Stegostoma tigrinum: one gene and its partners. The main gene of each other region encodes a partner of the protein of the gene in region 2 in a complex. Links are inferred from orthologs where the notes say so. Each region holds a gene or a part of one and is shown on either strand. Other genes may lie near its edges.

Region 1 (10,006 bases), on a different chromosome or scaffold from region 2:
TCCAACTGTCAAAAAGATTTATCAACATGAAAGATTTTGGTAAAACGCACCATTTAACTATTCATGCTTGGATGGTCACTTAAAAAGCAAGCCTCCCACACCACTCTGGTTGTTAAAAGGGCCACGGCAGCTGAAATTCCATTCAATATTGTAAAAAAAAGTTGGTAATTTCAGCCTGTCGTGTTGCTACACGTGTTACAATTGTGTTGCTACATGTGCTATTAACTGGAATTCGTGCAAATTCTTCATCCCTTTGCTCCCCCTCCTCCTTACCAGTTCTCAACCAAATCAGAAAAACACATTGAGGCTTCATAGTTTGCAGCCTCTACTACCAATTTCCACTTAACAATTTGGCAGAGTAGTTTTAAGCTATCTCAATATTAGCTGCAACACTGCTTTTTAAACTCTTTCTTTACCAGTTTGATATCGTGGCAGTGATACGTTTTGGAACCAGTTTAGGTCTCCTAAATCTTTTGCTTTCCCACTCCCAATCCCAATGCTTGAAAGAGAGTTATCTAATGTTGTGGTTTTACAGACTTGCTCTTTACAAGCGATGTCTACAAGCCTCCCACAGTAGTGTTGATCCTAATAAAGGATGACTCACTGCTGAAGAATGGCTTCCATGGGAACTCCAAATAACTGATAAGAATGAATGTACCACATCACCAGCTGATCCTATCTCCCCAATCCTTCTCTACATGCTTTAGTTCAAAGGCAAACAGGCAGCTGCGAGGTGTACAGTGATTCTGACAGATATGTGCTACTTCTGATTTGCATCTACTGCTACCGACTGAGGAAACAAATCTTTCCTTTGCATGATCAATCACTGGGGTAATACACTGAACAAACAGCAAGATACATGCCATTCAATGTCGGGCAAAGAAGGTATTTCCCCACCTCCCTCAAGTAAACAATGTGCTGTATTTCAAGCAGTTTGTCAGGTCCTGTAGAATGTATAAGTGACGTGCAACAGTAAACACAAGTTCTTGATAAAGCAAACAAAGGGCACGGTTGAGTTCATTCTGTTGCACATTTTTAAGCCTACCTCTCTCAATAGAATGTGCTTATTTCCAAGTAACAGACGATGATTGTTTTCAAAATTAACTGAACATTTTTTTTAAAAAATGTGCATTCAAAAACCAGTACAACTCTTTCCCCACTGCAAATTGGGCAAGACTTCTCCTAGCTCCTGATTGTAAGAGCTCAGAATGCAAAGTTCTTCTCCCCCTCCTGGCTCAAAACTCTTACAATTTTCAAACATGTTATAGGAATGTTTTAATGGATCCAGGTATAATAAACTTTGGCCAAAATGCACACCAATAAAGAGCAAATTTGGAACACATGGTAAACTAGAATTGGAGATTAAAGTATTTTAAAGAGATTAAAGGACAGGCACAATCTCCTGCTGGCAGTCACTTAAACAGTTCATTCATCAATTTACCATAAACTTCAATCTCCATTTTTAAGCATATTTCTGAACTGGAGAACAGTGATAGAGGTGGGGGTAATGGTAATACCTGGACATACCATGTTTTGGTTGCAGTGTTTAAAAAAAAAACTACATGCCTATGCAAAATGACAGCTGTTGTTGTCATGGGTCAAATAACTGATAGCAGACCCTTCCCTCAGTATACAACAGGCAGGTCCCCCCACCCCCCTCCCACCAATATGCCTAATCAGAATCCAGATTGAATTGTCACTTTCCGATTCAACTTCCATTGGCTTGTGCTCAAGTATTTCCCCGACCTTTTTAGGTTAGTCAGGTGTCAAACACTTCATTTGGTTTGCAGCCCTAAATCAGGGGTTTTTTTTGGTGATTTTGTTCCTCAAAATTGTCATATAAAGTAAAGTAATCACGTGATCTTATCATAAACTAGATTAAGAATAACACATTTGGATATGATTAATGAAGTGCTGGGACAGCCAACCTGATCATACACAAGCCCAGTTATGAGCAACTCAGGTGTATCCCATCCTCATTTCTAGGAGGATTCAATTGGATTACTTATCTGACTTCACAATTAGGTTGGTGTTATAAGCAAACTACAAGATTTCACAGTTCTCTCTCACCTGTATATATCCCCAGACATCCAACTGTGCTTTATTTAGTTCATAAACTCAAACGCAACTGTGGCACATGACATATTATACCTTTTCTGAGTGAGGAAACAAAGTGCCAAGGAACCTCTTATTATAAACTGGAAAATATAAAGTACTTTGTTTAAACACTTACCTAAGTGCTACACTGTCCAAGACAATACATACTTTTAAACTATCACATAAACAGCAACTTTTTTCTGAAGTACAAGTATTTTCCAAGAAAATAGGGAATTTAGTAATTCGTGCAAGAACACGTTCTTTTTGTCCCTGATAAAGAAAAATGTGGATTAAGCCACAAGATTTGAATACAGTATCTCCATTCCCATTCGTATAGATAATAGGCACTTTTGATTCATGTTCATGTAGACAAATATAAATTAGCCACATCTGTTCTTGTCCATGGGTTTTTTTTGTTGATATACTGTACATATATAAAACGAAAAATATCTTTGGTCCTTGAACATTATATTAGCCAAGCGTTCTGCACACTTTCACGTCCAAAATAAAAGTGAAGTGTACGCTCTCTGAAACCAGGAGCCGCGGATAGCACAATAGCGACTTCTGTCGTCATCTGATAATAATCCTGCATCCTGCGTCTGGAGCAAAACCATTAGAGTTTAGAAAGCACTCAAAAAAAAAGCATGCAACTGCGAAGAAGCAGTTTCACTTGGTGTATCATCCCATACATGGCGATCGCAAGCCCCCAAATGCAACCGGTCCCCCACCCTGTTTACAGAAGGCAACACGAGACGGACCTCTAGGTTTCAGCTTCTCTGCTGTATGAATTTATCGGAGAACAGGCAAGGGAAAATCTGAGCCTCTCCTTCACCCCCAAATCAGCATTTTTTGTTAAAAGGGGCTGGTCAGTCCCGACCACAAGAGTGTACGGGTGCTGAATTCCCATGTTGTCATTGTAGGATGACAGCCAGAATGGGAGAGGTAAAGCCAAAGCAAAAAACAATGTTTGTCATTTTGTTTTTTTTTAAAAAGAAGCATTTTAAAGCTGCCATACCCACCTCCTGGCTCGGGGTTAAATCGAATGTGATTTTACTCCCCTTCCCCTCTCTCAAACAGTTTCGATCTGCCTCAACTAGAGGGAAAAAATGCAGGCGAGCTATTTTTTTTTAATTAAAAGTTAAGCTCTGAAGAGTTGAGCAGATCAGCATTGCACTAAACAAGACAGGGCAGGGTCGAACTTTCTAGTGTGTGTGTGTGTGTGTGTGTGTGTATATATAGTGTGTTTCTCCCACCCCGATCCAAACCACAAAGAAAGGTGCTGTGCCCTCCCCATTGCGTTCTCACCCTCTGCTCTTTTTGCCCCTTTTGTCCGTATCACAGCAAAGCCTTCTTGCCTTCCTTTCAGTTGCAGGGCAGCCAGGTGGAGTAGGTGTGCTGCTGGCAGGTAAACACCGGCTGCACATGGGCGATGTAGTAGTTGTTGAAGTTGGCGTCGGTCACGTAAGGAGCCGGCTGGTAGTAGCAGGTCACATTGGCCACATTGGGGATGATGTTCTGCTCAGCCAGGACCCGGAGGGCCAGCATGGTGATGAGGTTCAAGGTCTGCCTCCTCTCGTGTCCCATCAGGCAGACGGTGCTCTCGTTGACCACCCTCTGTAGGGTCATCAGATAGTCATACTTACGGTCCTCCAGGCCCAGGAAGTGGTTCTGCAGGTAGGACTCCAGCTTCCTCTGCTGCTCGCCGATGTCCGAGAAGTCGATGAAGAAGCGGGAGCACATGTACCGCTGCAGCGCCTTCATCTCGCTCTCGGAGGCCGCCCGGAAGCCCCGCACCAGCAGGTTGCAGTACTTGAGGAGGCCGCCGCCGCGGATCTCCTCGGGGTTCCTGGTGGCGATTACTTTGTGCTGCAGATGCTCCAGCGCCTCCTCGAAGTCGCCGTAGACGCTCTCGCCCAGGATGGTGGGGTGGAAGTGCTCGGACATGGGGTGCTCCGAGCACTCATAGAAAAGCAGCAGCGAGTCCAGGTTAATCTGGAAGGCGTCCACGCTGAACTCGAACTGGCGCCGCAGCGAGTCCACGAACTTCAGTTCGACGTTCTTGCCGCTGTTATTTGACAGCGAGATGAGGCTCCAGCGGTCCGAGTCGTTGCAAACTTTCACCATCTTCTGCACATAGGCTTCCTTCAGGGTCAGCGGGGTAATCTTCTCCTTGTTCACGCCCTCGGGCAAAAAATCCAAGAGGCAATCCAGCACCACGTTCTTGACGGTCTGAAACTCCTTGTCCCCGCTCAGGTCAGCCCGGAAGATAAGGTCCAGGTCCTTGTAGCCCAGCCCGCTGCGTTGGTGCAGGACGTGACTAGCCGCCGAGCCGTTCAGCCTCACATCCCGCACCCGGATCCGCTTCTCCTCCAAGCGGCTCCGCACCACCTGCACGATCTGCCGGGGCTTCAGCTCCAGGGTCGGGAAGTTTCCCCGCCCGTGGATCGGGATCGTCTCTGTCAGGATCCTGTCCAGCCGCTGCACTTGCTCCCAGTTCAGAACGTTAAAACTACTGCATTTCGTGTTGGCATTTTCATCAGCCATTGTAATGTGCAGGCTCACTTCGTCAGAGAATGACAGAGAGGGGGAGAGATTTATTTTATTATTTTACAGACGTGATCAATTTCTTATCCTCCTTCTCTCTGCTTTTTTTTAATTCCCTCGTCTGCGCGAGCCGCAAAGCTCTAGCTATCTGCGTATTAACTCTCCCATTAGTTTTTATATGGCTTCTCCGTGCAGTTCCGGTAGTGAGTCACGGACATGGCACGCCTATTATATTTGCATAAATTGCTGAGGCCTGGCGCTCGCTCGCACCTTAAACGACTCAAAATAATGCACATTGCTTAAACTTTTAATATTTTTCTGCCCGTCCCCCACAATCAGTGTTTTCCGGGAATGGAGTGGGCGGGGGGCTAGGGTTTCCAAAATGAAGCTGGTGGCAAGTGAGGATTGAAAGGACCCTCTTCCTTTTCTCGCACCAGCTCCCTCCCCATACCCATTTCTTCCATGAATGTATCAATTCTCAGCAGCTGGAGAGCTGGGTGGGCGGAGACACGCTGATTGACAACTGTACAGGCGAATAGGTAGCTGGCGCCCGCCTAGTAGTGGCTCCGTACGGCCAATCACCGCCGGCTAGGGGCGGGGCTCCTCGCGAGGTGTAATTTACTGTCCCAGGGAAATTCAATGAAAAGTGAAGGCTGCTGTGTGGCTAATGTCAGTGAGGAATTCTATTCCAAACAGCTGCTTGTCATCCTGCACCCCAGCCGACAAACCGGACTTTTAAATATATCACTTATTTAACAACCAACAGGATTTCTCCCCTCAGTGCTGGGAATTCTGGAGTTACCTATAACCTTCGAGCCCGGGGGAACCTGTTGGGTTAGGGCTGCTGACATGAAAGACTTCAAACGCGAGCGATTCATTGTGAAGATTACAGTAATTCATTTCCACTGCACAAGACCCTGTCATTTTACACACCCTGATTTTAATGAGACCCTTGTATTTTCCTAACCAAATGGTGGTCTTTCGAAAGAAATAAGTGAAAAAAACCGGCGAAATGTTAATTGCTGTTGTTAACATAAGTTGCATTTGACACCGCGACTGGATATCTCGACGGTGCAAATGATATTGCGATCGGTAGGGAATAATTTCGCCAGTATTTTCTTGAAGCTCGTTTCGTATTTCCCGTGAAGTCGAAGTCAGCTGTGTGTGCGCGTCATTTTAAATGTAAAACTGCTTGAAGCACTTTGGAATCCTACCAGACACTGAGACCCGGATAAAGTAGATTATCGGAAGTTATGCCTGTTCCGAAGGGATTTGACCAGTTTAAATATATCTCCCACATATCTTATAAATTGCAGCCTGTGTAACCGAACTGCTTTAAAAACCAAGCGAGCAAAAATGTTTAAAAAAAACGTGACTGCACGAATGTTGCAAGTTGTACAGTCTGTCTGGGGCAAGTGTCAGTGTAGCGTGCTAACTGCGCCTCCTGTTGGCAGTACTACAAATAGCGACAGTCCGCAAATTAACAGTAATCATTCCCAATCTCTGTTTTTGTTGTTTCAACGAAAATAGCCGTTGCAGACTGAAATAAACAGTACAAACGACGGTTAGATGAAATATTTCGATGATCCTCATTTGTGGCCTTTCCGGGAGCAGAAGTAACTCTGTTCCCGTTACAATGGGTTTTGTGTCCAACAGCCAAACTCATGCAATGTAAAACGAGTTGCGGAAAGCAGTAAACGGATTTGTTAGAAACATAGTACACTAAATTTTAAGGATATATCAACTTAACACATATCTCTGATTATTTACAATCCTCTAATTGGTAGTTGAGCAGAGCTCCATACCTCGGAAGAGATTGGTAAAGCCCTAATGATCAGGAAGCAGCAGTAGGTCGGAAAGACATAACACAACGTGCCACAATCAAATGCAGACCCATTAATCTTAATCCCATATAAATTAACATAATTCATTATCAGAGGTAATTTTCAGAATAATTCTATATAACAATAACCCGGTTAATATTAATCAGCTTAAATACCGACCAGTCCCCTGACAAGGAACTCGTCCTCACCCTCAACCGCCTAGCCGAACTCATCCTCACCCTCAACAACTTCCACTTCCCACAGACTAAGGGGGTGGCCATCGGCACCCGCATGGGCCCCAGGTATGCCTGCCTCTTTGTAGGTTACGTGGAACAGTCCCTCTTCTGCACCTACACAGGCCCCAAACCCCACCTCTTCCTCTGTTACATTGATGACTGTATCGGTGCCGCCTCTTGCTCCCCAGAGGAGCTCGAACAGTTCATCCACTTCACCAACACCTTCCACCCCAACCTTCAGTTCACCTGGGCCATCTCCAGCACATCCCTCACCTTCCTGGACCTCTCAGTCTCCATCTCAGGCAACCAGCTTGTAACTGATGTCCATTTCAAGCCCACCGACTCCCACAGCTACCTAGAATACACCTCCTCCCACCCACCCTCCTGCAAAAATTCCATCCCCTATTCCCAATTCCTCCACCTCCGCCGCATCTGCTCCCACGATGAGGCATTCCACTCCCGCATATCCCAGATGTCCAAGTTCTTCAAGAACCACAACTTGCCCCCCACAATGGTCGAGAACGCCCTTGATCGCGTCTTCCGCATTTCCCGCAACACATCCCTCACACCCCGCCCCCGCCACAACCACCCAAAGAGGATCCCCCTCATTCTCACACACCACCCCACCAACCTCCAGATACAACGCATCATCCTCCGACACTTCCGCCATCTACAATCCGACCCCCACCACCCAAGACATTTTTCCATCCCCACTCCTGTCTGCTTTCCGGAGAGACAACTCTCTCCGTGACTCCCTTGTTCGCTCCACACTGCCCTCCAACCCCACCACACCCGGCACCTTCCCCTGCAACCGCAGGAAATGCTACACTTGTCCCCACACCTCCTCTCTCACCCCTATCCCTGGCCCCAAGATGACTTTCCACATTAGTCAGAGGTTCACCTGCACATCTGCCAATGTGGTATACTGCATCCACTGTACGTGGTGTGGCTTCCTCTACATTGGGGAAACCAAGCGGAAGCTTGGAGACCGCTTTGCAGAATACCTCCACTCGGTTCGCAATAAACAATTGCACCTCCCAGTTGCAAACCATTTCCACTCCCCCTCCCATTCTTTAGATGACATGTCCATCATGGGCCTCCTGCAGTGCCACAATGATGCCACCCGAAGGTTGCAGGAACAGCAACTCATATTCCGCTTGGGAACCCTGCAGCCCAATGGTATCAATGTGGACTTCACCAGCTTCAAAATCTCCCCTTCCCCCAGCGCATCCCAAAACCAGCCCAGTTTGCCCCCTCCCCCCACTGCACCACACAACCAGCCCAGCTCTTCCCCTCCACCCACTGCATCCCAAAACCAGTCCAACCTGTCTCTGCCTCGCTAACCTGTTCTTCCTCTCACCCATCCCTTCCTCCCACCCCAAGCCGCACCTTCATCTCCTACCTACTAACCTCATCCCACGTCCTTGACCTGTCCGTCTTCCCTGGACTGACCTATCCCCTCCCTACCTCCCCACCTATACTCTCCTCTCCACCTATCTTGTTTTCTCTCCATCTTCGGTCCGCCTCCCCCTCTCTCCTTATTTATTCCAGAACCCTCACCCCATCCCCCTCTCTGATGAAGGATCTAGGCCCGAAACGTCAGCTTTTGTGCTCCTGAGATGCTGCTGGACCTGCTGTGTTCATCCAGCCTCACATTTCATTATCTTGGAATCTCCAGCATCTGCAGTTCCCATTATCACTGATACAAATTATAGGGTGAGTTGTTTTATGAAGGATTGGAGAGGCTATACTTGTATCTGTTGGAAGTTTAGAGATGACTTGTTCGATACACACAAAAAACCTGAAGAGTCTTGACAGGGTGCATGTGGAAAAGATCTTTCCTCCACTGGGTGAATGTAGAATGTAGGGGTTACTGTTTAAAATTACCGGCCACCCATTTAAGATACAAATCAGAAGAATGGAACCCACATTATGGGAGGAATGTGCTCGTGCTGGGGAGAGTGTAGAGGAGATTTACCAGGATGTTGTGGGCTGGAGAATTTCAGTTATGAAAATATACTGGATAGACTAGGGTTGTTTTCTGGAGATTAGAAGAGTTTAGAGGATACATGTTTGAAATGTATAGAGTTATAATGGGCATGGATAAGGTAGGCAGAAAGAAACATTTCCCCTAGGTGGAGGAATCAGTGATCAGGGGACATTAAGTCATAGCACAGAAACAGACCCATCATTTCAATTCATCTGCATCAATCAGACATTCCAATCTGACGTGGTCCTGTTTGCCAGCATTTGACCATATCCCTCTATTCACATACCCATGCAGATGTGTGTTAACTGTTGTAATTGTACCTCCCTCCACCACTTCTTCTGGCAGATCGTTCCATGCAAAACCATCCTCTGCATGAAGAAGTTGCCCCTCGAGTCTTTTTAAATCTTTCTTCTCTCATCTTAAACTTATGCCCCCTTGTTTCGGACTCTGCAGTGCTGGGGAAAAGACCTTGGCTATTCACCTTATCCAGCCCCCTCATGATTCTGTAAGCCTCTATAAAGTCACCCCCTCAGTCTCCAACGCTCCATGCAAAACAGTCCCAGTCTATTCAGCCTCTGCCTACAGCTCAAACCTCCAAACCCAGCAACAGAAGGGCCGAATGGCCTACTCCTGCACCTATTGTCTATTGTCATTCTTATAAATCTTTTTGCAACCTCTCAAGTTTAACAATACCCTTCCAATTATATGGCTGAGGCACATCTGTTTATATAAAATTGGAGATGAGCAATTGTTGGTTGAATTCAAATTTGTGGGCACTTAGGAGCAAGTTCTGAACAAAGTGTGAGCTTATAATCCTTAGCAGAGTTAGAGTAGGAGCAAACGTTTAAGTGAGGAGTTCCTTGGGAACCACTGTTGCAAATACAATTATTCTAATGTACATACATGAAGCGATTGTAGAAATTTAAAAGCAAGGTCTGCCATATGGGTGGCATGGTGGCTCAGTGGTTAGCACTGCAGCCTCACAGTGCCAGAGACCCGGGTTCGGTTCCAGCCTTGGGCAACTGTCTGTGTGGAGTTTGCACTTTCTTCCCGTGTCTGCGTGGGTGTCTGCACTAGGTGCACCAGTTTCCTCCCACAGTCCAAAGATGTGCAGGCCAGGTGGATTGGCCATGATAAATTGCCCATAGTGTCCAGGGGTGTGTGGGTTATAGGGGAATGCATCTGGGTGGAATGCTTCAAGGGGTGGTGTGGACTTGTTGGGCCAAAGGGCCTATTTACACACTGTAGGGAATCTAATCTAATCTAATCTAAACCGGAATTGTACGCAGTATTCCAAATGTGACCTCAGCAATGTC
Region 2 (10,200 bases):
GAATGTAAGTAGTAAGAAACATAAAACAGATTGTAAAAGCCTTTGAAGATAAATATAAAGGAAATAATTAGTAGAGATGAATGAGGGTCCATTATAGTCAGAGACAGATGAATTTATAAACAAGACAGAAATGGCAGAGAAACCAAATAAATACTTTTTGTCTGTCTTTACAGAAGAAGGCAAAAGAAGTTTCCTGAAATAATGAAGATCCAGAAGTCCAGTGACCAATTGTAGAAATGAAAGAAATTAGTGTTAGTAAAGTTATAGTATTTTGGAAATTACTCCGACTGAGAGTTGACAAACCCCTGGGGCCCAATAACCTTCAAACAGATACCTAGAGAGACAATAGATGCATTAGTGATTACCTTTCAAAAATTCTGCAATGGTGCCTACAGATTGGAAGATTGAAAATTTAACCAGACTATTTAAGAAAGAAAGGGGAGGGAAAACATCACAGCTTTATTGGCTTGCACCAGTAGCAGGTAAAATACTAGACTCTGTTTTAAAAAAATGCTTTTACTGGGTATTTAGAAAATGGTTGTCTGATTGGACAGAGTCAACATAGATTTATGAAGGGGAAATCAGATTTGACAAATGTGATGAAGATTTTGATGATGCTACTAGCAGATAACAAGTGGTTATGGGATATTTGGATTTTCAGAAGTCCTTTGATAAAGTCTCACATAGGAAGTCGGCAAACAAGATTAAAGTGCATGACATTAGGGATATTGTGCAGCAATGATTAAGTATTGGTTAACACACAGAAAGCTGACAGTAGGAATGAATAGTTAATTCTCAAGTTGGTAGGGTATCTCATTGCTTAGGCCCCAGCTGTTCATAATCTGTATCAATGATCTGGGGACCAATTATAATATTTCAAGTTTGCAAATGATTCAAATGGGAATTTGAGCTGTGAGGGGGGAGGCAATGTGGCTTTAAGAATCTTAGACTGAATCTGTACTCAAGAGCATGGTAGATGGAATATAACATTGATATGTAAAAAGTTTATCCACTTTGGTAGGAGCAACAAAGGTACAGAATATTGCATTAATGGTGTTGATTGGAAAATGTTGAAATCTAAAAAGACCTAGATGTCCTTGATCATAGGTCACTGGCAGCTAGTATGCATCTGCAGCAAGCAATTCAGAAAGCAAATCGACTGTTGGTCTTTATCCCAACAGAATCTGAGCACAGGAGTTAGAGGTTCTTGTTCAGTGTACATAAAACTGGTGAGACCACAACTAGATTATTGTACACAGTTCTGATCCTCTTGGCATAGGATTACAGTAAGGTTTACCAGATTGGTTTATGGGATGCTAAGACGGTCCGATGAGGAGGGATTGAGCAGACTGGGCCTGCATTCCCTGGAGTTTAGAAGACTGAGAGGTGATCTACGAGGTACTTACAAAATTCTTGAAGGGATAGACAGGTGTCAAGTAGAAAAGATGTTTCTTGAGGTCTCAATCCAGCAGATGTTGCCTCAGAATAAAAGCCAAACCATTTAACTTGGTGCAGGCAATTCAAGAAGCACTGTTTTGGCTTGGGAATTTAATTTATAGCCTGAGAACTATGTCCGTTATATTTATTCTAACTTTTTCCCAACTTGAATACAAGTTGCAACATGGAGAATTACATTTTTAAACTTTCCAACAATAAAAACTTGTTAGTCATGAGGCTAATAGCCTTTCCTTGGTTGTTGATTGCTAACATTGCAGCTGCCACTAAGCTCTTTTTTGAAATGATCCAAATGCTTTGCTAGATAGGAGTAGCAGTAAAACAGTTGATTCAGCACTATAGCGTTTAATAAGTTCATTTGGGTTCAGGATAATGCAGCTTTTTGGACCAGCAACAATGCCAGACCCACATCCAATATCTTGATTTCTTATTCATAGCATGATTATTCATAATCCAATTTTACATTACTCTATTACCAATGAATCCTGATGGGCAAAATTATCATGAGGAATCTGTTTAATCAATGGAAGCACAGACCCTAATTTTCCGACTCACCAATGTGAACAAAAACCTCTTATTTGCTTTGTACATGATGAAGGACTATTGATCCAGTCCAGTACATTGTCTAAACATGTAAATGTGGTGCCTGTAGTCACTGTCTAAGTGATTAAGATCTGAATGAAAAGCAAAATCACAATGGGCACACTTTTACATGGGTTAGTGACGGAGGGACAGCTTACCCAATGCATCCCCCACACCCCACAGCAAAGTCAGTGAGGAGTGGATTGACCAAGAAGAAAGCCACGCTGCAGCTGTAGCTATTGCACAGGAGGGGATAGGGGTGTTAGTGCTGGTGTATCAATTGAATTCGTGGATGAGACTGGGGCAGCTACCCATCACTGGGGAGAGGTCCCACCTCTTGAAGCTGCTGACCAACCTCATTAACTAATCGCTCCAGAAGTCAGTTTGGCTCCTGTCCACCTACCATGGTATGGGAGTGAGCTCAGAGATGGGTGAGAAAGGGGTGAGGTTGGCACCCTTCCAAATTTACATACCCACTCTGCCAAAAACACAGAGGTGCATGTAAAATTCAGACCATATCTTGCAATGCTTCCCTCTATGGTTCGCTTTGTGCATATCAATATTGATCTTTCTGTTGCCCATTCAGAGTATTTATGCCACTCAGTGTCATTTCCTACTATGTACATATCTCAGTCACTCAACATACAATCCCTTTGCATGTAGCTGTCAGTCAAACTATGCCTTTGTCAATGTGATATTCTGTAAGCACCTGTGATTGAATTGTTAACTGTCACTCTTACTCAGTACGTAGCTGGGTGTCAGTATTCTGCTAGATAGGTGTCATTCAGTTTATGCGGCTCTATATGTAACTGAAATTCATACTGTTTTATCCTTGTACCACTCATCTGATATGTACCTCTCTCTGTAACTTCTCAATCTCTTGATTCTTTCACTGTTTCTAAATTATCAGACTAGTTGTCTGACATCTAACAACAAAAATCACTTCCAATTAAATATTGGGAAGATTGAAACCATTGTCTTCAGTCACTACCACAAATTCCATTTCATCACGCTCTACGGCAACCATCTGAGGCTGAACCAAATTATTCATAACATTAGCAGAATATCTGACCTCAGTACCCGTTTCAGACTATATATCTGCCATCACCAAGACTGTCTGATTTCTAACTCCGTAGAATTACCACTACCTCAGCGCATCTGCTGGAACAGTGATCCACACTTTTGTTATTTCTAGACTCAACCAGTCTAAAAAGCTCCTGGCTTCCTTCCCACATTCCAAAATCTTAAGCTCATCCTAAATTCTGCAGTGTTCTTGCATTAGTCTTATTCATTCATCAATCCTTTATTAGCCAAATTGTACTTGCTTCTGATCAAACTACTCCCAAGTTTTAAAATTCAAATTTTTTTCAAATCCCTCCATGGCCTCTCTCTGGAATTGCCTCCAGACTCTCTATGTGTTTCTGACTGTACATTTCTGTCACTTTATTTCACTGTCAACTATAAATGGATCAAAGGATATAGGGCAAAGTCAGGAGCAAGGTATTTAATTGGATCATCAGCCATTATTATTCTGAATGGCACAGCAGGCTTGAAGGGCTGAGTGGCCTATTCTGGCTCCTATATTCTATGGTTCTATGTCAATGTTTCTACATGGTGGCTCAGTGGTTAGCACTGCTGCCTCACGGCACCAGGGGCCCGGGTTTGATGCCAACCTCAGGCGACTGTCTGTGTGGAGTTTGCACATTCTCCCCATGTCTGCGTGGATTTCCTCCCACAGTCCAAAGGTGTGCAGGGTAAGTGGATCGGCCATGCTAAATTGCCCATAGTGTTGAGGGATGTGTAGATTAGGGGGATGGGACTGGGTGCGATGCTCTGAGGGTCAGTGTGTAGATCTGTTGGGCGAAGGGCCTGTTTCCACTGTAGGGATTCTATGATTTTCTACTTCTACGATCATTTTGAACTGTCACATTGTCTATGTTTTTGACTGTAGCTTTTTGCATATTTCAGGCTGGCACTGAGTATTGTCACTCTCTATATTTCTAACTGTCACTATATATGTACTTGAGGCTATCCATTTCTATGTATATCAATCTGGCACTTTCTGTATATTTCAGGTAGTCCTTTAAATGTCAGCTATGTACCCAGAGGTTATCACTCACTCTTTACATTACTTACTATCATTGACTATGTATTTGATGGTCACTGTACATTTTGGACTGTTCTTCTCCTTACATATTTTAGACCACCCCTCCCTGTATTTCAAATGTATCTTTATAATTCAGACTGTCCCTCTCTATGTAAGAAGGATCTCTATATTACAGGAGATTTCTTTTTATATTACTACAGGGACCTTTACATTCCAGAAGTCTCTCTCTTTATTAACAAAAGGTACCTACATATTTCATACTGTCCCCTCTCTGCATTGTAGGCGGATCTCTGTATACGCCACACTATCCCTCTCCATGCATTTCAGATAGATCCCTATATTACAGACAGTTTGCTCTCTCCACCACATACTGCATCCTGTCTGGACTCCCCAGATTTCAGACTGTGCCAATTATATTCCTTCTGCAACAGTATTCCAGATCGCCTCAATAGTATTCCAGACTACCCCTCCCCTCGACAGTCCAGGCACTCCCACATATTCCAGACATTTATATTCCAGACACCCCTGTATTACTCATGTCCTCCCGACAATCCAGGCCCCTTCATGATATTCCAGTCCTCACCATTTCCAGACTCCCTCCTACATCCAGACCCCTACATATTCCAACTCGTACCCCATATTCCAAAGATTACTCTTTCCAGATCCACCCCTATAATCCAGACTCCCCCAATATTTCAACCGTCCCTAAACTCCACATCTCCCCTTATACCCGAATCCACTATATTTCAGTTACGACCTATGTTCAGTCCCCCTTACATTCCAGATGTCCTCTACATTTCAGTTCTGCCTACTAAGAGTCCAGTCCGTACCTATAATCCAGATGCCCCCTACATTTCAGTCCCTCCCTGTATTCCACATCCACCCTACATTCTCATCCCCCATATTCCAGTCCCCACAATTATATTCCAACTCCCCACTTTATACTAGATCCCCTCTCTATTCCTGTCTTACTATGTTCCAGTGCTTCCTTATATTCAATCCCCTATATTCCAGTACTTCTCTATATCCCAGATGGCCCTACATTCCAGTCCCCAATGTTTCAGTCCTTGTCAAATTCCAGATCCACCCTATATTCTCAACGCCAATATACCCGTACCTACACCTTTATTCCAGTCCTTCCTTAAATCCCCACTCTATTCCAGTTCCTACTATGTTCCAGTACTTCTCTATATTCAGTCCCCAATATTCCAGAACCTCTCTGGACTCCAGATCCCCCCCATATTTCAGTAAACCCCTAGATCCCAGATCCATCCTATACTCTAATCCTGCTATATTCCAGTTTCCCCAATTACTTTTCAAATCCCTACTTTATTCCAGCCCCTCTCTGTATTTCAGATTAAACCTACATTCTAGTCCCCCTATACTTCAGATCCTCTCTCATATTTCAGTTATTTCAGTTCCTTCAAGTTACTCCCTATGTTCAGTACCACCTACCATCCAAATCCCCCTCCCCTTTATTTCCAGTCCTCTTCTATTCCTGCACTCCCATTTTCCAGATTCCTTTCTATTCCAAACCACTACATTCCATGGTCCCACCACCCCCATATTCCAGTCCTCCCTTTATCCCAGTAGCTCTCTCTCTTAGGATCAGGTGTGGAGCTGCAAGAACACAGCAGGCACGGCAGCATCAGACGACCAGGAATTCCCGATGTTTCGGGTGTGGACCCTCCTTCAGAAATCTCCTCTCTATTCCTATTCCCACCGCGCCCCCATTCCAGGTCCGCCCTATATCTACAATACTACAGACTTATTTCTCACTCACTGCCAAGGCGTTCCCACCGATGACGTCACCGCAGGTCGCCCGCTTTGGGGTCGAAGGTCATGAATGGGCAGCGCCAAATGATCCCTGCACCCAACAGTAGCTTTAATCTGACACTCACAGAAAGAGGTGTTTCTTCACACTTCACACGATACGGAATCGCAGATGATTTTCGCGGCAAGTGGGAATGGTTGTCACGGTTTAGAGCAATGATTTCCGGCTGTGGAAAAGGCCCCCGGGCAGTGTAGTTTCCGCTGACGTTGCGCTCTGGAAGATGGCGTCTTCGGCCAAACGGCGGCAGCTGGATCCGGCAGTAGAGGAGTCTAGGGGAAGTGGAACGGAGGAAGAGTCTGGGGACAGTAGTGAAGAGTCGGAGCCGGAAATACACCAAGTGAGAAAAATAACGGTCGACCCAACCGTCACCGCCCGCGAGACGGGTTTAGAACCCGAGCGCGCGCAGCCACTGGGGAGGTGGGGAGCACAGAGAGCGGGAGAGACTAGAGGATACAGGAGGTGAATTAGGCCATTCAGTCCATCAAATCTTCTCCAACATGGCCGATGTCTTTCTCAATCCCATCCTCTTGCCTTCTGTTCTCCCCATCGCCATCTCCGCCTCAAGAGGTAGCAAGAACTGCAGATGTTGGCGTCAGCGAAAATACAGCGTGGAGCTGGAGGAATACAGCAGGCCAGGCAGCATCAGAGGAACAACTTTCCGGCTGCCCTGGCTCCCTGTGTTCTTCCAGCTCCACAGTATTATCCCCACAATAACCCTTCATCCCCCTTACTAATCAACAACCTATCTGTTTCTTTTCAAGAGTGAGAGAGACTCAGGACGGAAGAGAAATGGATATGGACACAAGTGGAAAAAGTCAGGGTAGATAAGATGGAGTAGTGGAGATTGGGTGTGTTGAGGGAAATGGGAAATGGGAAAGGGTAGTGGGGCAGAGGAGAGGGTAAAATTGTATCAGAGATAATGGGAACTGCAGATGCTGGAGAATTCGAGATAACAGAGTGTGGAGCTGGATGAACACAGCAGGCCAAGCAGCATCTCAGGAGCACAACAGCTGACGTTTTGGGCCAAGGCCCTTCTTCAGAAAAGGGGGAGGGGGAGGCAGATTGAAGAAGGATAGAGGAGAAGATAGGTGGAGAGGAGACAGACAAGTTAGAAGGGCAGGGATGGAGCCTGTAGAGGTGTGTGCAGGTGGGGAGGTAGGGAATGGATAGGTCAATCTGGGGAGGACGGATAGGCCAAGGGGGTGGGGTGAGGTTAATAGGTAGGAAATAGAGGTGCGGCTTGAGGTGGGAGGAGGGCATAGGTGAGAGGAAGAACTGGTTAGGGAGGCTGGGATGAGCTGGGCTGGTTTTGGGATGCAGTGGGGGGGGGGAAGAAGGGAGATTTTCAATCTTGTGAAATCCACATTGATACCATTGGGCTGCAGGGTTTCCAAGCGGAATATGAGTTGCTGTTCCTGCAACCGTCGGGTGGCGTCGTTGTGGCACTGCAGGAGGCCCCGTATGGACATGTCGTCTGAGGAATGGGAGGGGGAGTTGAAATGGTTCACGACTGGGCGGTGCAGTTGTTTATTGTGGACCGAGCGTAGGTGTTCTGCAAAGCGGTCCCCATGCCTTCACTTGGTTTCCCTGATGTAGAGGAGGCCACAACAGGTACAGCGGATGCAGTATACCACATCGGCAGATGTGCAGGTGAACAACTGCTTGATGTGGAAGCCCGCCTTGGGCGTGGGATGGGGGTGAGGGAGGTGATGTGTGGGCAAGTGTAGCACTTCCTGGGGTTGCAGGGGATAGTGCCGGGCGTGGTAGGGTTGGAGGGGTGTCTGGAGCAGACAAGGGAGTCACGGAGAGAGTGGTCTCTCCGGAAAGCAGACAAGGGTGGGGATGGAAAAATGTCTTGGTGTTGGGGTCAGATTGTAGATGGTGGAAGTGTTGGAGGGTGATGCGTTGGATCCGGAGGTTGATCGGGTGGTATCTGAGGACGAGGGGGATTCTCTTTTGGTGGTTATTGCAGGGACGGGATGTGAGGGATGAGTTGCGGTGAATGCAGGAGGCATGGTCGAGGATATTCTCGAACACTGCGGGGGAAGTTGTGATCCTTGAAGGATGAGTTATGTCTGGGATGTACGGGAGTGGAATGCCTCATCCTGGGAGCAGATGTGGCGGAGGTGATGGAATTGGGAATAGGGGATGGAATTTTAGCAGGAAGGTGGGTGGGAGGAGGTGTATTCCAGGTAGCTGTGGGAGTCGGTGGCCTTGAAATGGATATCGGTTTCTAGATGGTTGCCTGAGATGAAGACAGAGAGGTCCAGCAAGGTGAGGGATGTGTTTGGAGATGGTCCAGGTGAACTTCAAGGACCGCGACTTCCCCTCCGCAGTGGTCAAGAATGCTCTCGACCGTGTCTCCCGCATTTCCCGCAACTCATCTGTGATTCCCTTGTCTGCTCCACACTCCCCTCCAACCCCACCACACCTGGCACTTTCCCCTGCAACTGCGGGAAGTGCTACACTTGCCCACACACCACCTCCCTCAACCCCATCCCATGCTCCAAGAAGACCTTCCACATCAAGCAGATGTTCACCTGCACATCTGCCGATGTGGTATACTGCATTTGCTGTACCTGTTGTGGCCACCTCTACATCAGGTAAACTAAGTGGAGGCTTGGGGACTGCTTTGCAGAACACCTATACTTGGTCTGCAATAAACAACAGCACCTCCCAGTCACGAACCATTTCAACTACCCCCCCCTTTCATTCCTCAGACAACATGTCCATCCTGGGCCTCCTACAGTGCCACAACAATGCCACCCGAAGGTTGCAGGAACAGCAACTCGTATTCCGCCTGGGAACCCTGTAACCCAATTGTGTCAATGTGGATTTCACAAGCTTCAGAATCTCTCCACCCTCCCCCCTCACCACCACTGCATCCCAAAACTAGCCCAGCTCGTCCCCACCTCCCTAACCTGTTAGACCATAAGGCCATAAGACATAGGAGTGGAAGTGAGGCCATTCAGCCCATCAAGTCCACTCCGCCATTTAAATCATGGCTGATGGGCATTTCAACACCACTTCCCTGCACTACCCCCCGTAGCCCTTGATTCCTTTTGAGATCAAGAATTTGTCGATCTCTGCCTTGAAGGCATCCAACGCCCCTGCCTCCACTGCACTCTGCGGCAATGAATTCCACAAGCCCACCACTCTCTGGCTGAAGAAATGTCGTCTCATTTCAGTTTTAAATTTACCCCCTCTAATTTTAAGGCTATGCCCACGGGTCCTAGTCTCCCTGCCTAACGGAAACAACTTCCTAGCGTCCACCCCTTCTAAACCATACATTATCTTGTAAGTTTCTATTAGATCTCCCCTCAACCTTCTAAACTCTAATGAGTACAATCCCAGGATCCTTAGCCGTTCATCATACGTTAAACCTACCATTCCAGGGATCATCGCTGTGAATCTCCGCTGGACACCCTCCAGGGCTAATATGTTCTTCCTGAGGTGTGTGGCCCAAAATTGGACACAGTATTCTAAATGGGGCCTAACTAGAGCCTTACAAAGCCTCAGAAGCACATCGCTGCTTTTATATTCCAACCCTCTTGAGATAAACAACAACATTACATTCACTTTCTTAATTACGGACTCTACCTGCAAGTTAACCTTTAGAGAATCCTGGACCAACACTCCCAGATCCCTTTTGCACTTCTGATCTGCGAATTTTCTCACCGTTTAAATTGCCTGTATTTTTTTTTTCCAAAGTGCAAAACCCCACATTTACTCACATTGAATTTCATCAGCCATTTCCTGGACCACTCTCCTAAACTGTCTAAGTCTTTCTGCAGCTTCCCCACCTCCTCAGTACTACCTGCCCGTCCACCTATCTTCGTATCATCAGCAAACTTCGCCAGAATGCCCCCAGTCCCTTCATCCAGATCATTAATATACAAGGTGAACAGCTGTGGCCCCAACACTGAACCCTGCGCGACACCACTCGTCACCGATTGCCGTTCCGAAAAAGACCCTTTTATCCCAACTCTCTGCCTTCTGTCAGACAGCCAATCCTCAATCCAAGCCAGTAGCTCACCTTGAACACCATGGGCCCTCACCTTGCTCAGCAGCCTCCCGTGAGGCACTGTATCAAAGGCCTTTTGGAAGTCTAGATAGATAACATCTACTGGGTTTCCCTGGTCTAACATACTTGTTACCTCTTCAAAGAATTCTCACAGGTTTGTCAGGCATGACCTCCCCTTACTAAAACCATGCTGACATG
Region 3 (10,971 bases), on a different chromosome or scaffold from region 2:
GATGCAGTGGGTGGAGGGGAAGAGCTGGGCTGGTTGTGTGGTGCAGTGGGGGGAGGGGAGGAACTGGGCTGGTTTTGGGATGTGGTGGGGGTAGGGGAGATTTTGAAGCTGGTGAAGTCCACATTGATACCATTGGGCTGCAGCGTTCCCAAGCGGAATATGAGTTGCTGTTCCTGCAACCTTCGGGTGGCATCATTGTGGCACTGCAGGAGGCCCATGATGGACATGTCATCTAAAGAATGGGAGGGGGAGTGGAAATGGTTTGTGACTGGGAAGTGCAGTTGTTTATTGCGAACCGAGCGGAGGTGTTCTGCAAAGCGGTCTCCAAGCCTCCGCTTGGTTTCCCCAATGTAGAGGAATGCCACACCGGGTACAGTGGATGCAGTATACCACATTGGCAGATGTGCAGGTGAACCTCTGCTTAATGTGGAAAGTCATCTTGGGGCCTGGGATAGGGGTGAGGGAGGAGGTGTGGGGCAAGTGTAGCATTTCCTGCAGTTGCAGGGGAAGGTGCCGGGTGTGGTGGGGTTGGAGGGCAGTGTGGAGCGAACAAGGGAGTCACGGAGTGAATGGTCTCTCTGGAAAGCAGACGGGGTGGGGATGGAAAAATGTGTTGGGTGGTGGGGTCGGATTGTAGATGGCGGAAGTGTTGGAGGATGATGCGTTGTATCCGGAGGTTGGTGGGGTGGTGTGTGAGAACGAGGGGGGATACTCTTTGGGCAGTTGTGGCGGGGGCCGGGTGTGAGGGATGTGTTGCGGGAGATGCGGTCAAGGGCGTTCTCGATCACTGTGGGGGGAAAGTTGCGGTCCTTGAAGAACTTGGACATCTGGGATGTGCGGGAGTGGAATGCCTCATCGTGGGAGCAGATGCGGCGGAGGCGGAGGAATTGGGAATAGGGGATGGAATTTTTGCAGGAGGGTGGGTGGGAGGAGGTGTATTCTAGGTAGCTGTGGGAGTCGGTGGGCTTGAAATGGACATCAGTTACAAGCTGGTTGCCTGAGATGGAGACTGAGAGGTTCAGGAAGGTGAGGGATGTGCTGGAGATGGCCCAGGTGAACTGAAGGTTGGGGTGGAAGGTGTTGGTGAAGTGGATGAACTATTCGAGCTCCTTTGGGGAGCAAGAGGCGGCGCCGATACAGTCATCAATGTAACGGAGGAAGAGGTGGGGTTTGGGGCCTGTGTAGGTGCGGAAGAGGGACTGTTCCATGTAACCTACAAAGAGGCAGGCATAGTTGAGGCCGATGCGGGTGCCCATGGCCACCCCCTTAGTCTGTAGGAAGAGGGAGGAATTGAAAGAGACTTTTGTAAATTTCTTTTTTATTATTAATTACAACTCATTTTCCCATCTGTTTTAGTATCATCTGTAAATTTGACTATAGTACTTTCCATCCCCACATCCAATTGTATGGATTGGAGCTGAGGACTGAGCACCGTGGCTCCCTACCAGTTATGTCTTCCCAACCTGAAAAAGACATTTATTCTGACTCTATGTTTTCTGTTGGCTAGCCAATCCTCTATCCAAGATAATAAATGACCCACAACCCCATGTGACTTCCCTTGTGTATTAAGCTTTTGTGTGGCATTTTATGAAATGCCTTATGGAAGTCCAGCCTGGGTTCAAGTCCCACCTGCTCCAGAGGTGTGTCATAACATCACTGATCATTGACCCCATTTTTGAAAGATATCCAACTATCTCAGGGTGAAGTTGAAAGAGGCTTTGTTTCTTAATAGGTTCCACTTTATGCAAGTCGAACCAATGTGAGCCAACCATCATCCTGCCATGGGACATAGGTCTGAGGATCAAATTGTGACCTGCTCTATTTCAATCCCCATCTATAATGTTGCATTCAGAGCTGACCGACAAACAAGAAAAATAATCAGGCTCCATAGACAGTTTCAAAAGCAGAAATTGCTGGAAAGGCACAGTAGGTCTCACAGCATCTGTGAAGAGAAATCAGAGGTAATGTTTTGGTTTCAGTGATCTTTCCTCAGAGGAAGGATCTGACAAAGGGTCACTGAACCTGAAACTTTTTTTTCCACCAATGCTACCAGACCTGTTGTGCCTTTCCTGTAATTTCTGCTTTTGTAGACAGTGTTTCTGTGCAATTTGCCTGAACCCCAGTGCCAGGAATCTGAATTGTCAAAGAAATATCAGCTTTTCAAACAAAAATGGAAATCTTGCAGGTGATTATATGGTGTTCTAAAAGCGTGTTAAGGTTACTAAAAGAAAGTTAACCCTTCACATTAAACTGAGAGTAGAGCCAAGGCAAACAAGTCTCATACCTTGGCGTACGTTGACATTTACAGGTTAATGCTCAACCTGTTTGCTTGTGCTATGTGGTATGAATGCATCTTCCTTGACATCAACCCCTGGACTAGGCTTTAAACACAGAGCTCTGGTTCAATGGCACAGACCCTGCCAGCTGTGCCACAAGACTTTCTGGGTATCTAGTAAAATGTAAATGTCGGTGTGATATCGGGAAACTCTTCTTCATAAAAACGATTCAATTTATTTTCATTGATTTAACAACGAAAGAAGTAGTAGACTGAATAATTCAAACTGTTACAAACAATTTGAGGGCATTAGAATATCTTCCTTAGATGAATTATAATCATTAAAGAGAACTTTGTAAATCGTTATCCCGCCATCCTTTGAAGCAATAAACAACAAGAAGTTACACTGAAATACCGTTTCTCTCAAAGAAACGTTGCAAGGCGCTTTACAGGTGCAATACAAAGCAACGTATTGAATTATAAATGCTGCTCTCATTAGTATGGGAGACTATTTTCTCTAACACAAAAATATCTCGGTACAGATACCTCCTTACTATCGTAAAGCGCTCAGGATTTTTTAAAGTTGCTTGTTGATGTAAATTTGGGGATTGTGGCACAGTTGGCAGGGTCTGTGCCATTGAACCAGAGCTCTGTGTTTAAAGCCTAGTCCAGGGGTTGATGTCAAGGAAGATGCATTCATAGCACATAGCACAAGCAAACAGGTTGAGCATTAACCTGTAAATGCCAAAACGTAACATTCACTGCTGTCGCTCGTGTACTGCTGTTCCTTCACAGTGAGAACTTCATAACTCCAGTGCCATGTATTACCACTTCCTGCCACCAGGCTGCACTCCGCCTTCTCAGTTCCAGGATCTAAGTTTAAGTCGTCCAAGACCGTCTGCTGTTACAAAGTGTTCTTGTCTTGTTAATCAGATTTGTAAAGGACCTTGCCTTTTTAAATTTTTTTTACATTTAATACTGTACACACAGATCTCGCCAAAGTACATTCAGTTCGTATTTTTCGCCGAATTACCAATTCCACAGAATGTCTTTGATAGGATTAAAGATATCAATTTTTCTCATTTTTTTTACAGTTTGACGCAAATGTACATGGACTTAGCATGGAACTGTTTCAAACAATCGTTTATTGTGAGGCGGGATGGGGTGTATGTACAAGTGACTGATAATTTACATGTATCATTCCCAATGAGCTGTGTATCGGGTCCAACTGGTCGCTATTTCTAGCCCCGTGGCCCCCCACATCATACGCTATTTTAAAATAAGGATCTTACTCGCAGCCCAAAATACAAAATCGGAACAGACCTCAGATGTGCTTTATTTATATTTCACTTTGAATATGTTGCAGAACGATGTGTTCTTTTAAAAATAAATCCATCACCAGATAGCAATTTGCACATCGTAAAATTTTGAAAGCGACTCTTACTTATTGTGCTCGCTGTTAGTCTCATAATCTGGGCATATGTGTGTCCATACAAAGATAAAGCTTGGTATATGTAATCATCTTAGATTCTTGTAAAAGAGCCTGCTACTTCATATCTTCATAAAATTATCTTTCAAACTATTTCGGACGAAAGTGAACTTTTACAATTTAGCGTTCGCTTTACATCTTAACATTTTTCGGAGAAAAATAAACTTTCGGTGGAATTAAAGGTCAGTGGATAATGCACCAATAAGATTTACCATTCACAAAATTCTTTTTTTAAAAAAAAGACAAGGATTGTGCCTGCAACTGCATCAGAGATCCGTCTTACCTGTTCGTTGGAATGCCATAATTTACACACTTATTACATGATTATATTCTACTTACATTCATACATTTTATCGTAATTTTTTCAAGTTGAAATAGGTGTTGCCTGACACTTATTAGAAAAGGCACACATGCCTTTCGAGGTACACCGCAGTAAAACACATAGCTAGCAATTTTACTGGAAGTTGTTAATTAACGTTCCCTTATTTAAGCATTTCTATTATATATAGACACGCGCTCTGAATGTATAAATTAGGTGTTCGTATCCTTGTCTGACACTGTTTAAAAATAGTATTTGCTGATTCAGGACATTAATGGTGGCGCTGTCTGCGGTGAAATGTGACAGATTACAGCTAGCTCTGCGGTCTTACTCACCCCTGCAAATAGTGCAATGGAATTGCTGACCAAACTTTCTTTGCTGCTCAGAAAGTCAGAGGCAACGCTTCGTAAGTGAACCGAAACATGATGTTTGTTTTAGAATTAAAAGTGTCCTGGGTGCAGTTCCACGTGAAGTCCTTGTCGGGCAACTTGTGAGGATCCTCCTCAGTCTGGGCGCTTCTCTGTCCGCCGCTCAGTACGATCAATGTGTCCGCATCAGCCTGTATAAATGGGATCTCAGCTGCAGACCTCGCCGTGATCTGTACGTAAACATATCTCCATGGAGATAGAATCGTCAGACCTGTGGGCGGAAAGCCAACCTGTCAGCCTGAAGCTAGTAGCAACACCCCCTCTGCTGTCGGCACAAGCAAACAGCAGCAACTCCAGACCCAATGTCACCTTCGCCACCGGATACGGTCCAGCTCCTGCCTCCAATCTTCCCTTCAACAACTTGGCTTCCTCGTCTGCCTATCCTCACTTCAACTCGAGTATTCCACAGGAATGATCACAATTGAAGTTGCTTCGTGCAGGATTTTGGAAACTTTCTATTGAATCCAATAAAATCGGTTGGGTGTGAAAAGGGGGAAGAAATGTAAATTAGAGTCCGTGGCTATCAATCTTTTAGTTTCTAACATAGCAATTCTCACTACTTTTTTTGATGAAACTGATATTTTCCTTCTTTTCCGCGATTGTGTCGTTAAAGTTGCGAAAATTAAAAATAAGGGACGCGCTTTTCTTTTAAAACTGAGATGAGATTATTTTCTTAGAGTCAGAGGTTTGTCAGTGGAAATCGCTTTGAAAGTAGTGGAGGCTGGGCCTTTCAATTTACTCAAGGCAGTGTCAGATAAATCTTTGATAAACAAGGAAGTCAAGGTTTATGGAAAGCAAGCAGGAAAGTACAACCTGATCAACCATTATCCTATTAAGAGGCAAACAGCAGGTTGGAAGTATGAATAGCCTACGCTTGCTCCTGAGTCTGACACTGCTATTTGTATTTGAATTTGTTGTACATTTTCAGCAATATTTCACCTTTCCTGCCAATTCACCGTCTTTAAACCCAGCACCGGAGTTGACATTCCTTCCAGTGTTAGTAAATCAATAGTTGACATGTTGCAGATTTGACGATGATGAAAGCTGTTAGCAGTTGGCTTACTTAGCTGAGAAAAATGTGTTTTTATTTCAAATCAGCTGCACAGGAATGTAAAACTAATTATAAATGAGAAATTGATTCTTTTTCACCAGAACAACTTTGTAGCAGAGAATCTATATTATAAATGGATACAGCACTCACAAATACTGACATTCATGGGGAAATTTAAAATGTGGAAGTTCACTCACTTTTAACATGCGACTACACACCATGAAAACCACCAGATTAGAAACACAGGAATAGACAAGTCAACATCAGACTCTGTGCAAAAGTTTCATTGCTTTAAGTCAAACAAAGCAAAAAAAAATCTGCAGATGGCCAACAACTATTCTGATGGGTTGAGATAACACAATGTGGAGCTAGAGGAACACAGCTGGCCAGGCAGTATCAGAGCAGCAGGAAAGTTGATGTTTCACGTCAATAGATGATTAGAGAACAGAAGAGAGAAACCAAATTGTTTTCATCCAGACCAAGCTACCTGTTGAAAGTGCATCAGTTCATGACAGTCTTACTAGAACTGACTACAGTTCTATAGACAGAGCTACTTCATGGTACAACCAGCAAAACAGAGCTAAGCTCTGCAGTCCTATCATACCCAGTCATGAATGATGGACCATCACGGATTATTTCATGATTTTTAACAGTTTTGGTTTGGAACAGTGAGCTGAAATTGAGAGTTGAACTTTAGACAAGCAGCTTTTTTTAGAAAGAGCAATGAACAAAATTTCTGATATGGAAATTGGCTTTAAAAAATAATTGCAGCTTAGTTATTGTTCTCTGAATACTGAAGATGTTGTGGTACTGGAGATGTATTATGATATTAAAAAGGACAAAGGAAGGCCAGTGCCAGCCAGTCAAACAAAGATAAAATGACAAAAAAAAGCAACTATATATTTAACTGGTTTGGACTGGGTTTTGTATAGAAGGCAGTGTGGCTCTAAAAGCTGCTGGACAGAGTTTTGGTTGCTGTGTAGTCATTCTCTAATAGAATTATTGAAAGTTCTGAGAAAAGAACCCCAGTCTATGAGACTTAAGTAAGTGTCTCCAGCAGTTTGCGGAAGCTGAATAGATTGACTGGTGATTTTGGAATTCAAGTACAATGTACAGTCACGTGCCTGTGAACAACTCATTATTCAGGACTGCATGAAGACTTAGCAACCATTGTTAAAAACTGCTTAAGTGAACTGGCCAGTTACAACACTTTTATTTTCTTTCTAATTTAACCTTAATTGTGTTTGTCTGTCCATGTATGTGTGTGAGTGGGAATATGATCAAAGAAGATTGGGTTTAAATTTTAGACATTAATTAGATTACTTTGTTGTTTAACTGAGCTAAACTTGAGGTACTACTAATAAATTGTTAAACTTTGTTTAAACTATGAATTTAGTGTTCAATACCTGTTATTCATAAAATCTGGTTAGGAGCAATTCTGTGATTTTGAGGGTCATTGAATATTTTAATTTCACTGTGTTGCCATTTCCAATGTTGTTGAGTCTGATTAATCTGACTTATTATCCCTGTATTGTTACAGTGAATAGCTAAATCACTCCATGGAGAAGGAGGCTCCACAGTTTTCCTCATCCTCAATTACTGGGAATTATTGAGCTCATATTAGTGCAAAATACAAGTCTGAAGTATTTGCAACCATCTCAAGCAAAAAGTGCAGAGTGCTTATTCCAACTCAACCTCCTCCTGAAGTTTCCAAGATCTTAAATGCCAGTCCTCAGTTGATTTGATTTATTCCATGTAATGTAAAGGAGTGGTTGAAAGCATTGACTGTTACAAAAGTTATGGGCCCTGACAGCAATCTGGCAATAGTACTGAAAACCTATGCTACAAAACTGGCTGTGCCCCTAGCCAATTTGGTCCAATATATGGACTGCAGTGGGTGAAAAAGGCAGCTTACCACCATCTTCTGAAGGGCTGCTAAGGATGGGAAATAAATTCTGGCCATCCAGTGACTCCTATGTCCTATGAGTGAAAAAAAATAAATAAAGTACAGCACTGGCATCTGCTCAGCAATGTGGGAAAATTTCCCTGGTTAAGACTTGTCCACAAAAAAAAGGATGAAACCAAACCAGTCAATTACTGTTCATTGATCTACTCTCAATCATTAGTATACTGACAGAAGCCACCATCAAGATGCAATGAAGGAGCTTTTTCATCACAATAATCTGCTCATTGGTGCTCTTTTAGATTTAGTCAAGCCCTTTTCAAACATCTCCACACTGTATTCTAGTCTTGATCCAACATGAGCAAAAGAGTCGAAGTCCAGAAATGAGATGTGAGTCACTGTACTTGACAATAGCATTTAACCTAAAATGGTATCAAGGAGCACTTATAAAATTAGGCAATGGCAATCAGGGGAAAACTCTGCACTAGTTTGACTTATACCTAACACAAAGGAAGATGGTGCGATTGTTGGATGTCAACCAGGGAATGGCTATGGATCTCCATAAGGTAGTGTCCTAGACTTAAGCATCGTCAATTACCTTGCTTCCAAAATACTGTTGGGTTGCTTGCTGATGATAGTAATGTTCAGTATCAATTACAACTTGTCAGATACAGAGTAACCTGTACCATATGCAACAACATTTTGGTTTGATCTGATAAGCGGCAAATAATATTCATTCCATACAAATGCCAAGTAATGACCATCCAACAAAAAATGATCGAACCATCTTTCCTTGACATTCAAAAGCATTACTATTGTAGAACTACTTTTAATTATGACACCCTCCCTAATATTGTGTGGAATTATCATTGTTTAAGTGGGTTGGACACCCAACAGATTTAGCATCTCAAAATTAGGCACCCACGTGGTGCAGCAGCTATCATCAGCAGCAAAATTGTATTTTAACACAATCTGTAATGTTAGAGCTCACCAGTACTTTCCGAACTCAACCATAACTATCAAGCAAGGGAATCAACCTCAGTTCAATGAAGAGTGTAAAAGATTGTATCAAGACGAGGTATAACTGAATATGAGTAGCCTCACTGGTGAAGCTACAACCCAATGGAAGCAGCATGCTCTAAACAATGCTGTGCAATCCATATCAATCCCAGCCAGGATAAATAAAAATGAAGAAGAGACTCTGTAAACATGATCACGAAGCCCAGGGAGCATGTGGGAAAGATAAGGCTGAAGGATCTGCAACCATCTTCAGACAGAAGTGCTGAGTAGCTGATCCATTAAAAGCATCCAACTGAAATCCTCAGCATCACAGATGTCAGATTTTACTGAATTCACTTTGGTTCATGTGATATCAAGGAATGGCTGAACGCACCGGAGAGTGCAAAGGTGTTAGGCGCCACCAACATCCCAGCTGCAGTGTTGAAAACAAGTGCTCGAGATGGCTGATCAGAGATAATGGGAACTGCAGATGCTGTAGAATCCAAGATAACAAAGTGTGAAGCTGGATGAACACAGCAGGCCAAGCAGCATCTTAGGAGCACAGAAGCTGACACAGAAGCCCAGACCCTTCCAGGCCCGAAATGTCAGCTTTTGTGCTCCTGAGATGCTGCTTGGCCTGCTGTGTTCATCCAGCTTCACGCTTTGTTATCTTGCTCTAGACGGCTTGTGCCTACCACCAAGCTTTTCCAGTATAGGTGCCACACTAGCATCACACAGAAAGTGGAAACTTGTTCAGGTATATCCTGTTCACAGAAGCTAATTATCACCCCCCATCAGTCTGCTCTCAATTATAAGAACATATAAGCTGCGGTGGGCCACTTAGCTCCTAGAGCCAATTCCAGCATTGAAACCATCTGCAATCTAACTTCATATTACCACCTTCAACCCATAGTTTTGAATATATCTGAAGAGCAGGTGTGCATGCTGGAATGGATAGAGATAGAGGAAGCTGATGTGCTGAAAATTTTGTCAAACATTAAGATTGACAAGTCGCCAGGGCTGGACCAGATTTGTCCTCAGCTGCTTTGGGAAGGATCTTTGCATCCTCGCTCTCCACTGGAGTCGTACCTAAGGACTGGAGAGAGGCAAATGTAATTCCTCTCTTCACGAAAGGAAATAGGGAAATCCCCAGCAATTACAGACCAGTAAGTCTCATGTCTGTCGTCTGCAAGGTGTTAGAAAGGATTCTGAGGGATAGGATTTATGACCATCTGGAAGAGCATGGCTTGATCAAATGCAGTCAACACGGCTTTGTGAGGGACAGGTCATGCCTCACAAACCTTATCGAGTTCTTTGAGGATGTGACTAGAAAAGTTGATGAGGGTCGAGCTGTGGATGTGGTGTATATGGACTTCAGTAAGGCATTTGATAAGGTTCCCCATGGTAGGCTCATTCAGAAGGTCAGGAGGAATGGGATACAGGGGAACTTAGCTGTCTGGATACAGAATTGGCTGGCCAACAGAAGGCAGCGAGTGGTAGTAGAAGGAAAATATTCTGCCTGGAAGTCAGTGGTGAATGGTGTTCCACAGGGCTCTGTCCTTGGGCCTCTACTATTTGTAATTTTTATTAGTGACATGGATGAGGGGATTGAAGGATGGGTCAGCAAGTTTGCAGACGACACAAAGGTTGGAGGTGTCGTTGACAGTATAGAGGGCTGTTGTAGGCTGCAGCGGGACATTGACAGGATGCAGAGATGGGCTGAGAGGTGGCAGATGGAGTTCAACCTGGATAAATGCGAGGTGATGCATTTTGGAAGGTCGAATTTGAAAGCTGAGTACAGGATTAAGGATAGGATTCTTGGCAGTGTGGAGGAACAAAGGGATCTTGGTGTGCTAATACATAGATCCCTTAAAATGGCCACCCAAGTGGACAGGGTTGTTAAGAAAGCACATGGTGTTTTGGCTTTCATTAACAGGGGGATTGAGTTTAAGAGTTGTGAGATCTTGTTGCAGCTCTATAAAACTTTGGTTAGACCGCACTTGGAATACTGCGTGAGTGATAATGGGAACTGCAGATGCTGGAGAATCCAAGATAATAAAATGTGAAGCTGGATGAACACAGCAGGCTCAGCAGCATCTCAGGAGCACAAAAGCTGACGTTTCGGGCCTAGACCCTTCATCAGAGAGGGGGATGGGGTGAGGGTTCTGGAATAAATAGGGAGAGAGGGGGAGGCGGACCGAAGATGGAGAGAAAAGAAGATAGGTGGGGAGGAGAGTATAGGTGGGGAGGTAGGGAGGGGATAGGTCAGTCCAGGGAAGACGGACAGGTCAAGGAGGTGGGATGAGGTTAGTAGGTAGGAGATGGAGGTGCGGCTTGGGGTGGGAGGAAGGGATAGGTGAGAGGAAGAACAGGTTAGGGAGGCAGAGACTGGTTGGACTGGTTTTGGGATGCAGTGGGTTGGGGGGGAAGAGCTGGGCTGGTTGTGTGGTGCAGTGGGGGGAGGGGAGGAACTGGGCTGGTTTTGGGATGTGGTGGGGGAAGGGGAG

What was found.
Region 1: the proteins of bccip (region 2) and tent5aa are in contact, whole or in part, in a crystal structure (PDB 8EXE), measured with the Homo sapiens proteins. The link is inferred for Stegostoma tigrinum from reciprocal best matches to the Homo sapiens genes BCCIP and TENT5A. Residues at the interface, in NP_510868.1 of Homo sapiens: Val57, Asn58, Ile59, Glu60, Phe61, Glu62, Ala63, Tyr64, Ser65, Leu66, Gln146, Val149, Leu150, Phe152, Cys153, Glu154, Lys155, Asn156, Cys157, Glu158, Lys159, Glu163, Lys167, Leu203, Ala204, Ala206, Thr225; in NP_060103.2 of Homo sapiens: Arg87, Gly88, Asp139, Glu151, Gln155, Lys158, Lys184, Glu185, Val188, Gln189, Lys190, Met191, Val192, Lys193, Val194, Cys195, Asn196, Asp199, Trp201, Asn213, Arg289, Lys295, Glu331, Arg334, Gln341, Asn342, His343.
Region 3: the proteins of bccip (region 2) and tent5c are in contact, whole or in part, in a cryo-EM structure (PDB 8EQB), measured with the Homo sapiens proteins. The link is inferred for Stegostoma tigrinum from reciprocal best matches to the Homo sapiens genes BCCIP and TENT5C. Residues at the interface, in NP_510868.1 of Homo sapiens: Val57, Asn58, Ile59, Glu60, Phe61, Glu62, Ala63, Tyr64, Ser65, Arg136, Gln146, Cys153, Lys155, Ala204, Gly205; in NP_060179.2 of Homo sapiens: Asp90, Asp92, Glu102, Gln106, Arg109, Lys135, Glu136, Val139, Gln140, Lys141, Leu142, Val143, Lys144, Val145, Cys146, Thr147, Asn164.

Annotation. Positions count from the first base shown.
Region 1 is NC_081357.1:38,176,227-38,186,232, forward strand, and holds the start of tent5aa (terminal nucleotidyltransferase 5A), read right to left. Parts: upstream 4,926-10,006; 5' UTR 4,642-4,925; coding exon 3,460-4,641; 3' UTR 1-3,459.
Region 2 is NC_081373.1:31,760,513-31,770,712, forward strand, and holds the start of bccip (protein BCCIP homolog), read left to right. Parts: upstream 1-5,971; 5' UTR 5,972-6,198; coding exon 6,199-6,315; intron 6,316-10,200. UniProt on the Homo sapiens protein: During interphase, required for microtubule organizing and anchoring activities. During mitosis, required for the organization and stabilization of the spindle pole.
Region 3 is NC_081365.1:38,339,337-38,350,307, reverse strand, and holds the start of tent5c (terminal nucleotidyltransferase 5C), read right to left. Parts: upstream 4,672-10,971; 5' UTR 4,419-4,671; intron 1-4,418. UniProt on the Homo sapiens protein: Catalyzes the transfer of one adenosine molecule from an ATP to an mRNA poly(A) tail bearing a 3'-OH terminal group and enhances mRNA stability and gene expression.